Linked DNA regions of Saccharomyces cerevisiae S288C. Changing the gene in region 2 together with the main gene of any one other region gives a genetic interaction. Each region holds a gene or a part of one and is shown on either strand. Other genes may lie near its edges.

What was found.
Region 1: mutations in RDR1 (region 2) and AIF1 together harm fitness less than expected from each alone (positive genetic interaction), as found in Saccharomyces cerevisiae (one large-scale study listed by BioGRID).

Annotation. Positions count from the first base shown.
Region 1 is NC_001146.8:776,588-781,766, forward strand, and holds AIF1 (Aif1p), read right to left. Parts: upstream 2,152-5,179; coding exon 1,015-2,151; downstream 1-1,014. Other genes in the region: COS10 (Cos10p), read left to right, coding at 3,329-4,453; YNR075C-A (uncharacterized protein), read right to left, coding at 4,924-5,016. UniProt on the Saccharomyces cerevisiae protein: Putative FAD-dependent oxidoreductase involved in the resistance to cercosporin and other singlet oxygen-generating photosensitizers. Translocates from mitochondria to the nucleus under apoptotic conditions, where it degrades DNA and induces apoptosis.
Region 2 is NC_001147.6:1,048,359-1,054,373, reverse strand, and holds RDR1 (Rdr1p), read right to left. Parts: upstream 3,085-6,015; coding exon 1,444-3,084; downstream 1-1,443. Other genes in the region: AMF1 (Amf1p), read right to left, coding at 3,316-4,863. UniProt on the Saccharomyces cerevisiae protein: Transcriptional repressor of multidrug resistance genes, such as PDR5. Required for growth on non-fermentable carbon sources like lactate or glycerol.

The DNA.
Region 1 (5,179 bases), on a different chromosome or scaffold from region 2:
CAGCAGAATATACGAGGTATCCGTCCATATATCCACCACTGATGCGCAAGCTTAATTGGTTCACGTCCGCACGAAAAGTTTATAAAATGACGTATCATGGGGGGGAGTGTTGAATCAAAAAAGTGGCGAGCTAAAAATAAAAGAAAAGTGTACGTGGAATGAACTGTTTGCTGAGCTCATCCTACGGTCATTTTAGCCCGTGCCAAGGGAAAGTGACTATACGGTGGGGTATCGCGGGGTAAGGAGACTCAGGTACAAAGGCAAAAATCAAGATAGGCACATAAGAAGGCACGAAACTACCCCACGTTTCAAGTTTTGCTATATCCCTTATTTATTGCGCGCCCTGCAGGAAAATAAGTTTTAGGCACTTAAAAAATAAAGTTCCCGGGGTCAATTTCTGGTAGTGGCAAGCAAAGTATACTGAAGTTGGCAAGCAACACGTAGCCTCTGCATATATCGGCCTTTCTCGGAATGAAATAATCAAAAAAATATTATGCGGGAAGCCGCTGTTTTATTGAGCATTCTAATGCTTTCTTTTTCCCAGCACCTAAACCACACAATACTTTACTCCAGTTCCGTATTTGCCCCTCCCATGGCATCACGCCTATACCTTAACTGTTAATTCTCACCGTCCCCATTATACTAGGTTTAAAAAAGAAGGTGGTCAATCCTGTTGATATCTGTATCTCTATATAACAAAACTTCGGTATAAAACATTCACACTTCGAGTAAAATCAGTACCTATCTTCATGGACCCTCCAAAATGTCAAATTGTTATCAAGCGATTGATAACTCTAATGCACAGGTGTAATACCGTTTTACTACTGTCAAAGAAACTACATATAGTGTGAGAATCCAAAGCTAACATTTTCGAGTAACTTCGGGTTTTAATAGATTATTATCTGAATGCGAAGTTCAACATTTGTTGTTTCCAGCGGCCTTCTTTGTTTCACAATACAGAAACTAATATATATATATATATATATATATATACGCTGCAGTTCATATTTTAGTCTATTTTTTGAATAAAGGTTCCATTTTGTCGGAGAAAAGATTCTTCGACTTTGCTCTAGAAATTAAAAACGATGGAATATTAATCGTCCCAAGTAACGGTAGTGGAAATTGGCCAAACCCTGCATTTGGCCCAAGGGAGACACCACTTGGGGCATGTCCTGTCTCAAGACAATCTGCATCAACGAGACTAGCCTCTGTTCCTTCTTGTAAAGAACTTATAACATTTCGGGTCAAAACATCAACCCAATTATCTCTTTTAACCAATCCGTGATATCTAAAATTCGTTACATCACCAATGGCAAAAACGTTTCCTGCCTCAACAGCTTTTACCCTGAAGTTTTTTTCAACTTGAATGAACCCTTTCTTGTCACAAAGGTCTGAAATACTGTTGACCGGCACATTTGGAGAAATACCAACGCCTCTGTAAATCAAATCAGCATCTATATATTTAGATGAGCCCTCACCTAGAAAAATACGTTTCGGCGAGGTGTCTAAAGAAGCCCCTACTGTGTTCAAGTACAACGTAATACCATTTTTTGAGAGATAGTCTGTCACATTTTTTCTTAGGGTATCGTTGTATAACCCAGAGTCCGGCAGTAGCTTATCGGAATTATGAATAATGGAAATACGCTTTTTGCCAGACCTGATCTCCTCCAAATACTTGAATAACAATTCACCAGCTAGTTCACAATTAACAAAGCCACCGCCAAGAAAAAGTATGTGATCTGCATCTGAGATTCGAGAAGCCTCTCTTTCAAAATACTCTTTATAGTTATCCCCGAAGGTATAAGTTGAACCAATTGGATCAGCCCACTTTGAGCCAGTTGCAAGAACCAAGATATCAAACTTTATGGCCCTGTCTGACCCCAAAACTACCTCCTTATCATCAAAGCTGGCAGCCGTATCTTTGATAACTTCAATACCACTATCAAGAACATTTTTTAACGGCAGGATCGACTTGGTATAATCCTTTGAAACCGTCAAACGGACAGCTGAGGGTAGAAAATACACATAATTAGATGCTGTGACGAGCTTTATTGCGTATGTCCCACCCAGTTCCCTGTACAAGTGATTTGCCACAGACACACCAAACACACCAGCACCAACAACAACTATGTTCTTTGTGTTAATTGTCATATATTTTGCAATTTCTTTCTTCCTTTCTCTGCTCTTTCCTGTAAATAATGAAGAACAACGATGAGGAAATGTGTGTCTATCAATGATTTATCACTGCTTTCGTTTCTAGTCTGCAGCAGCTAATATATTAATACTTATAATAGGCTTCATTTGTCCAGCCAGATAAAAAGGACTAATCATGCAGGGTGGACATTCAATTAATTTTTATCGCTTTTTAACGATTACTAATCCAGTATTACCAACTACAATCACTCAGTCATGTATCACTAATAACGAAAAGTAAGCTGTACAATGCTCATCTTCCTAGCACTACTAGTACTGCTACTATGAGACACCATTGAAGTCTTCTTCAAGACCCCCATTATGAGAACACTTGGCTCACTATACAATCGGCGGGAGATGGGTTGTTATTATAGAGAGTTTCAGGAAAAGCACTCCTAGATTCTAGTCAAGTACTGCCTATTGTATAAGAGACGAGGGCACGAGATAGCGCAGTATTTTATGATGAAAATATGAAAATAAATACTTAACTCATTGAGTAAGCTTAGCTGGGCAACTTAACTAACAGTCAAAAAAAAAAAAAAAAAAAAAAAACAAGAGCCAGCAAACTGACATTAACATTGATCAATAAAATAAGAAAAAATGTACCAGAGAATTCGATTATGAACTGATGACAATATCATTAAAGACTTTGCACAGTATTCAAAAACTAATCGAGAGCTTTGACCAAAAAGTGTCCCGACTTTATAATGAGACCGCCGCTTAATTCATAGGAGTTATATGGTATGCTTTGGAAAGCTATTACATTGTTTGATAATTCAAAAATAAGCCACAATACTTCACCTATTGTGTACCATGTATTATAAAACATCGCAGCTCGTATCTGTAAACATACATTGACTTACATTTTAGTGATAACTTGGGTACTTGAGTGAAGTCCATTTCTCCCGTGCTTCCGGAACATAAACCAACATAGATTCTCTTTCACTCGAAACTGCTCGAAGCTGTTGCTCTTTTTTTGATCGTGGCTTTAACTATAAAACTCAACAGCTGCGTGATGAACGCGCTGTCAACAAATTTCATCTTGCGAATTATATAAAAAACACTGCGAGTGATTAAACCTCAGTAAACTTGTTACGTACCTCATAACATTAATGTGAAATACACTATATTGAATATGGGGGAAGAGATTAGACTTTTGTCCTCTAAAGGTCTTGAGACCCATAGTAGCTTTTGTTTGCCCGAGGATATTTTCAGAAACCGTTTAACATGGTTGTGCAGTGAGATTCGCAACTCAGGATTTTGGATCTGGTCGCTATCATGGTTACCGCTTGCCGTTTGGTGGGGGATGGCCAGTACTTGGTTTTATCCCCTTCTGACTTCAGTAGTTCTAATCCTGGCGCTAATTGCTATTTTGCCAGTAGTTCAAATACAGTACAGTAAATATACTTTATCAAATCAACTCACCCAGCTTTCTAAAGAAATCATCAAAAGTGCACCAGGTGCATACTCTGCTGATTGGGACGCTGTTGCAATACATTTCAATTCCTACTTGTATGAAAACAAAGCATGGAAAACTGCACATTTTTTTTTTAATGGTACTGACTGCCAAGAAGCATTCAGGAAAACCATTCTAGAGCCAGCTGTTTTGAGGAGACAAAACGAAGATCCTAGGTTCAGTTCAATTGAGATTTTGGTCCCTTACACCGAAGACGCGGTGCAGGTTTATTTTACAAAAGTAAACGCACAGTGGAGGTTGATCCATGGTAAGAAGGAATGCAAACTTACTATGTTGGAAAATGTCAAGCTTCCTAAGGAAACCTATCGCTGCAAGCTAGCATGGAGTTGCCAGAGAATCAGGATTTCTTTCTCTCCACTAGACTTCCTTCCTGATATGTCTGACTTCTTTATTTGTGCAAATTTATCACCAGCATGCTTGGTATCTTATTGGCTAATAGACATTTTCTTTAGAATGATAGATGATTTTCAAAACATAAGGCCTAAATCGATGAAAGTTGATGATAAAATGCAGTACCTATCAGATATTATAAACGAGCAGGGTGCTAGCCCTGAAAAATGGGATACAATTGCAAGGAAAACGAATACACGATTATTTGAAAAGAGGGTCTGGAAAAACGAAGAGTTTTTCTTTGATGGGACTGATTGTCAGGCATTCTTTGAACGGAACTTTAGTAGCCTTTTGTTCTCAAAAAAATCTGCGTCGCCTAGATCATTAAACGTTGAACTTTGGAAATACATTCAAGAAGCGCAATTGAGCTGTAACTATGAGCCGTTACCATAAAGATAGAAACATTTATTTTGACTTAGAAGCTACAAGGAGGATCAACTATTAATATTTTTCCTAGAGAACATTTTTAAAATTGGATTCAATAAATTAGCGCCATCTATTGCCCTTACACTTTTCTCCTTCATATCTGGCTAGAAAAGGGGGGGTTACATCTCGGAATCAAATATTTTCCTCTGCGTCGAGTTTTAATCCTGCTTCTGGTTACATTCTTTTTTATCATACACGATTCTTTGAACATCAACTTCTCTCAAAACCATCCGCCTTCAGCGGCTACAATTACGTAATTGCACCAAGGCATTCGCGGAGAATTCACGAATTTGCAGACGCCAACAGTATACGACTCCCAACACACGTCTAATATCTTGTACGGATTTCAAGAGATAGAAATATTACTTCCATGGAAGCCGTTTAGAGCAGACTGAATATGGGCTTAGACAATAAGCTTCTGAACGAGGGTCTTAAATCTAAATTCGGATTTTCTTTTTGACCGAAAGCGGAAACTTCGCAGGCGCGCAAAAGGGGTTTTCAAGGCACCTCGGCACCCCTATAATTGGCATTCTCACATTCTGCGCATACGAATACACATGAGTGCCATAAAACAGTACTCCACATACGAAGTCTATCAAAGATGTATGATTCGTTCAAAAACAAGAACATCTTCATAGTGATAATGAGATTGTGTGAAAGATGAGATATGGAGAATATGTGAGGTGCTAAATG
Region 2 (6,015 bases):
TTCCCAGATGATATTTTCCAACACTGCTTCGTAGTTATAATAATCTTGCAATGCCAACCGTAAAATAGTAACGCATTTCTAGAAGAATTTCGCAATTCATTTTATATTTTTTAATCAAATGAGAAAAAAGTATAACGATTAAAAACTCTCTAACCATGTATTGGAAAAAGATGTTGCAACTTATGTAATATTCCTTGGCAGGGTTTCCGGGGCCTGTGCGCAACTTTAACGCCATTTTATGCAGGCCGAGCATTCTAAGCCTCAAAAAAAGTTGTATCTCCGAACCTGCCAATCTTTACTGTCGTACCAACCAAGGGTATGAAAAAAGCAAATAAGGCCTACAGCTTATTCAGCTTAGTATACTTCATCAGATTTATGATAAAATTTTTTTGCACTGATCCATCATTTTTTTATGGAACTGGTGGAGGAAGCTAGTTAAACCGCGAATTAAGTTAGGCGATGCGATGCGCCTACGTATTTTCAAAGTTTTACTGAAATTGGCTCAAAGCATAATTGTGATTGGAATGGGAAGCAATAAAAAAATGACTTTTGAAGTTTTCAGTTTGAATGACTTTCGATTAAATGTTTTTATTGATAATTGAGCGAAAGTGGTAGAAAGTATGTACTGGCTATTTTTCTTCCAAATATAGCCGAGACCGAACAAAATTTAAACAAAACAATTAATTAAATTATTCATTATTCATTATTCATATTAGAATATCAAGTTGTAAAAAGCTTGAAAGTCTTTTTTTTTAAAAAAAAAATAGACTGGACATGAGTCTTATAAATAAAGGGCAGTGAAAGAAGACTAGTGTATTAGAAGTGTATCCGCATGTGATATGACTATTTAAGTGTCACAACGGCATTCTTTTATTGCTGATGATAAGATCTAGAGAACTCTTCAGGGATGTTTTTCTACATACGTTCTAAGCTTTCCCACCTACACTAAACCAAATACTAATAAAGTGTATAAAAATTTCCGGACCACTCAAACAAAATTTCGCTCAGCAATACTTCAAATCTTGACTTGCTTTTATTTTTATCTTTCGGTTTTCCACCTGACGTTATCAACTTTTCTTTAATGAATTGAACTTCCAAGCTTTAACACTGTTCCTGAGCCTCTTGAGTATTGACATAAACAGTCAGACCTTCTCTCGTATTTTTATAGATCGAACTTGAACCATCAATTTGGTGCAATGCAGTGCAATTTGCATTTGGTTCAGACACTATGTCCAAGAAAAGAATATAATATCAGTCAAGGTTTCACCCCTCATTCCAGGCGTGACGGGATTTCTTTAAATTTCCTATTTTCAAATACCGGATATATTACTTTCTGCGCAATTATCAAAGATAAAATATAGTAAGCAGGTATTAAACATCAATTCCATTCCCTCTAATTATAAATCAATTTGCTTCTCGATACACATAATCTATAATACTCTTTTACATAAAGTTTAACGTGTCTGATGGATCTAGCAAAGCATCCCAGTCAATATCGAGTAGGTGAGTAGTTTCAAGATTAGATCTCTGGTGAGTTGCCTGCTCAAGCTGCTGAATTTCTTGTCTTTTTTTTTTCATGGAATCCTCAAGAAGCAGTTTTGCGGTCTTTTGTGCTTCAAAAGCAATACGTGTACCGAGAATTTGAGTAATATTATCTAACGTTTTCATGGCAGTAGCAACATGTGAAAGACTTTCCGGTGTGTCGATGGCAAGAAGGACACAGACGTACTGGAATGAGGTGCTCAACACATTCCACCATGCTTGATCCAGTTTTACAAGAGCGTATGCTGCTGATAGCGCAGTGTTGCCGATATCAATTATTTGTAAAACAACATTTTTATCAAGAATATGATTCAGCAAACGAAGTCTTCTATACAAAGAGAGGCATATATCACCCTTGGTCAACGACAAAAACGGATGTGCGTTTGGTGATTCATGAACGGCCGCCAGGGCCTGCAACAATTGCGCTGCGTTTGCGTTCACGCTGTCTTGGGGAATCAGGTGTGCTAACGCGACTAAATGAGCTGTAAAATTACCGTCCGTCTCCTTAACTGGCTTGCAAGTAATTCTATTCAGCGTAACACTTGAGCGCCCATAGTCATATGAAAGAATGGTATTGATTGACCATGCACACCAAAATAATCTTCTAGTGTGTTCGCTCACTACAGTAGTTCTTTTTGGTGGAACGTTGTTCGATATCGCTATATCCTCTCTGTCAATCTCATGATGCAGGCCAATTGCCTCAGAAAGATGGATGGTTACGCAGCTAGCTAACCATGCTACATGGGGCCTCGAAGTGGCTCGCAGGTAAATGGTGCGCAAAACCCATGCGGAGACTTGCTCCACCGTGGGAATGCGACTGAAAGTCGGGTCATCAAGGATCCCTTTGGCATATTGTACTATATCCATCTCTCGGGGATGGCCAAGACTTCCCATAAAAAATGATCCTAAAGCTATCACCCCTGCAATAACAGCCCCATACTCTAAGGTTTTTACGTCGCCATCCCAGTATTTTTCAACATTCTTTGCCAGTTGCTCTGGATTAACAACATCAAATATCGGGTGAACAACTGAAAAATAAACTTTTGAGATACGGTAATACTCTTCCTTTGTAACTAAATCAGAAAGAAGGACATGTGAGTTTGGATTTTCTTCCGGTCTGATTCCGCAATGCCAAGCGAAGGAATGTAGGCGTGGAGGATTAGTTGATCGGAGTTCGAGACCAAGACAGCGGGGGAAAGCAACTGCAGAGTGCTGGATCGTGTACCTAGACTTAGTTGGATCTACAATGTTTTGACTTGTAACGTTCTGTGTATTTATAGGCTGCGGTTGTTCGTTTCTATGTATACCCGGAAGAACAAAAGGTCTGCTCTCCGTATCAGGAGATGTTTCACCTACTTGTTGCACTTGAGGTGATGCCGAAGGGACACGACCGTCAATATAATGACATACATATCCATAGGCAACGCACATTTCACATGGAGATTTGCCATTACATTTCCTTTTACGTTCCCTACAGGGCACGCAAGCCTTTCGGACTCTTTGTCGCTTGTGTGGTAATGCTGTCGATCCTGGGGATGCCATTTGGTGAGCTTAAAGTAGGAAAGTGTGCGCTAAGTTATCTTACTGAAGTTCTTTCAGGTTTCTACTTGAAAAAATAATGTATCTTTTCACTCGAGAATGGCCTCTTGTAATTTTCATATTTATCGCACGATACGGGATATACTGGCTCCTCTCTATCACTTTGATCGTACTATATTTATTTCTATTAGTTTGGGTTATATACCACGATGAAGTATTTCTCTATATATGAACTTATTCTATAAAATGCTGCTTTTCGGAGATCCTTTTTTTAGACTTCATAAAAGTGCTCCATGCATACGTTGCTGCGACAAAAATGCCAAGTCCGCTCAACCCGATGCCCATGTACCACGAACAACGATATCCTTTCAAAGGCTTGGCACCTCCGTCATTTACTCTAGATTCAATTGTACCTGCAATACCCAAACCTATCGATATCGAATAGTTTACCACCGTATTAACCAAAGAGGCTGCAAGACCTTGATGTTCGTGTGGCATCGAGTCACTAAGCATTATTGTAGCGGCCGGAAAGGACATGTCCATTCCCCAAGGCATAACAATGATTGACACAAACGTTTGAGCCCAATACGTTTGGTGAACGGGGGCCGTAGCAATCAATATAGTTCCGACTGTGAAAGCTGTCATCGCAAAAAGCATAACTGTGCTTGGGGGTGTATGGCTTAGAAGGAAACCTGTCGTCACGGCTGCACAAAATCCACTGATTGCTACAGGTGAAAACTGTGCACTAGAAAGAAGGGGGGTTTGGCCCCTTGAGTCTTCCATGAACTGCCATGTATAGAATATCCAAATACCAAAGCTGGCCCATCCCGCAGCTATGCAGCTAAGTACAAAAGCAGTATCACTAGAAAGAGCAGCAAATGGTAGCAGAGGGAAAGCTGCTCGGGACTCGATATATGCAAAAATAACCAAGAAAAAGGTACCAACTATCAAAAGAGCGTATGTGTATGGAGTTTGCCAACCCACAACGGGGCCTTGGTTCCAAGCGAAATTAAAGAGAATTAATCCAACAACGCCGGTAACTGACCCTGCAAAATCGATTCGTTCCAACAACTTGAAAGATGAGGCATCGCGGCTTGGCATGGGGGTGTGAGGGATTACAAAGTAACCTGCTACAGCTAAAACAAAGCATGCAATACCCATTATCCAGTAAGCCCATGGCCACCACGCCAGTTGACCCAACATGGATGAGAAAACAGCCCCAAGGAAGAAGCCACCAGGTGCTGAAGCACCAAACAGACTAAAGACCATGTTTTTTCTTCTTCCTGGCTTATATGTGCGTCCGAGAATCGCAATGGCATTTGGCAACAAAAAGGCCGGACCCATGCCTTGAAATGCACGACAGCAGTCAAAAAAAATCTGATTAGAGTAGACGCTAAACCCAGCAAGTAAGGACCAAAGTGCGTACCAAAAGAAGCCAAGGACAAAGAATTTCTTGTGTCCGAAGATATCTCCGAGTCTTCCAGCAATTAAAATGAATGTACCAACAGTTAGCGAATATGCGGAAGCAAACCAACTAAGTTGTCCAGCATTCGTTGTTCCAAAACTGTTACCGATGATGTGAAGCGGCGCTAATGATTGTCCAAGTCCTGCCTGAGTCATTAGTTGGGCAGAGCACAGCACTCCGACAAAGGCACTCTCCCATAAAAGGGATTTAGGCCTCTCATCCTGAATATCAAACTCTGATAATACTTTATCCTCCTTTTTCAAGGCTTCCGCGTTTGTATCCAAGTTTTTCTGCGTTACGGAGGAGCTAGTTGACATATTGATTTTATGTTCTTTATGTTCCAGCAATTGATGAATGTACAATATTTGTTTTCTTTTCAGGTAGAGAGTGAGATAGAAGTAAGTTTCCACAAATGAAGTTATTGGAGGCTAGATATACTACTCCCTTGGTATTTAAAACTGCTGCCAAATCTCGTTTATTTTAATCCCTACCGATAGCTCATCATTGAGAGCTTCCGCAATATCCGCACATTTCGTGGAGCGCTTCACGTGAAAAGAGTGGCCCATTGAAAAAAAAGCTGAAACATTCGTAGCGACAACCCTGGCGACAAGCGTGGCGACAACCGCAATAGCCGCCACAGCCGCAATAGCTACACATCACCTTTTTGGGCTTAAAGTGGTAGGTAATTTTGCTTGGCGCGGTTACCTACCACTCTAAGCCGCAACAACAGAACACGTATGGAAAGCTTGCCGCAATTGTCATCGTTCTGGCTAGTTCATTCAACGTTTTAGGTTTCCACCCCGTTACATTTGCACGTTCAGCGTAATGAGCGTGGGTACTCGATGATTGTCGTTTGTTAAGGCTAATCTAGTTGAAAAAGAAACGCGTGAAAAATGTTATTGAAGTTTCTTATCCAATTAAGATTTCAGCTTTTCAGCTTTTTTTCTAGGCGCTCACTTGGTTCCATACCATTCTTTTCAAAAAGTCTGCCATGTAATTATACGAATACTGTGAATCTTTTATGATAGCATGCTCCTATTATAGATGTGATCGATGTCTGTGTGCTTCTGGGCTTACAAACGAGGATATGCACACAAGGTTCCAAATTGCCGAAGCTGCAAAGAAGCAAGCAGGCTCCTGAAGCACCGAATCAAGATCAAATCATTGTAGCGACTTATTTTAGATGAACTTTGGAAAGCGGCGTCTATAAAAGTATAAAAAAATACAGCAAGAAACCTTTTTAAAATCTACTAGCAAAGAGAGAAAGGAAATGACTACATTAGGTGCGATATCAATAATATCGAATTGATGAAATATGAAAATAAAATTTTATGCCTGGGGAAAAGTTCGGTAACATCAAATCAGTGCTTTATTTGAGTATCTTCCGCCTGTAATTCCTCACATAAAAAAAAAAAGCTTTTTACACCTCCTTATGCCCATGCGCCCACGCATTTGTTTGTAGCTTTGCA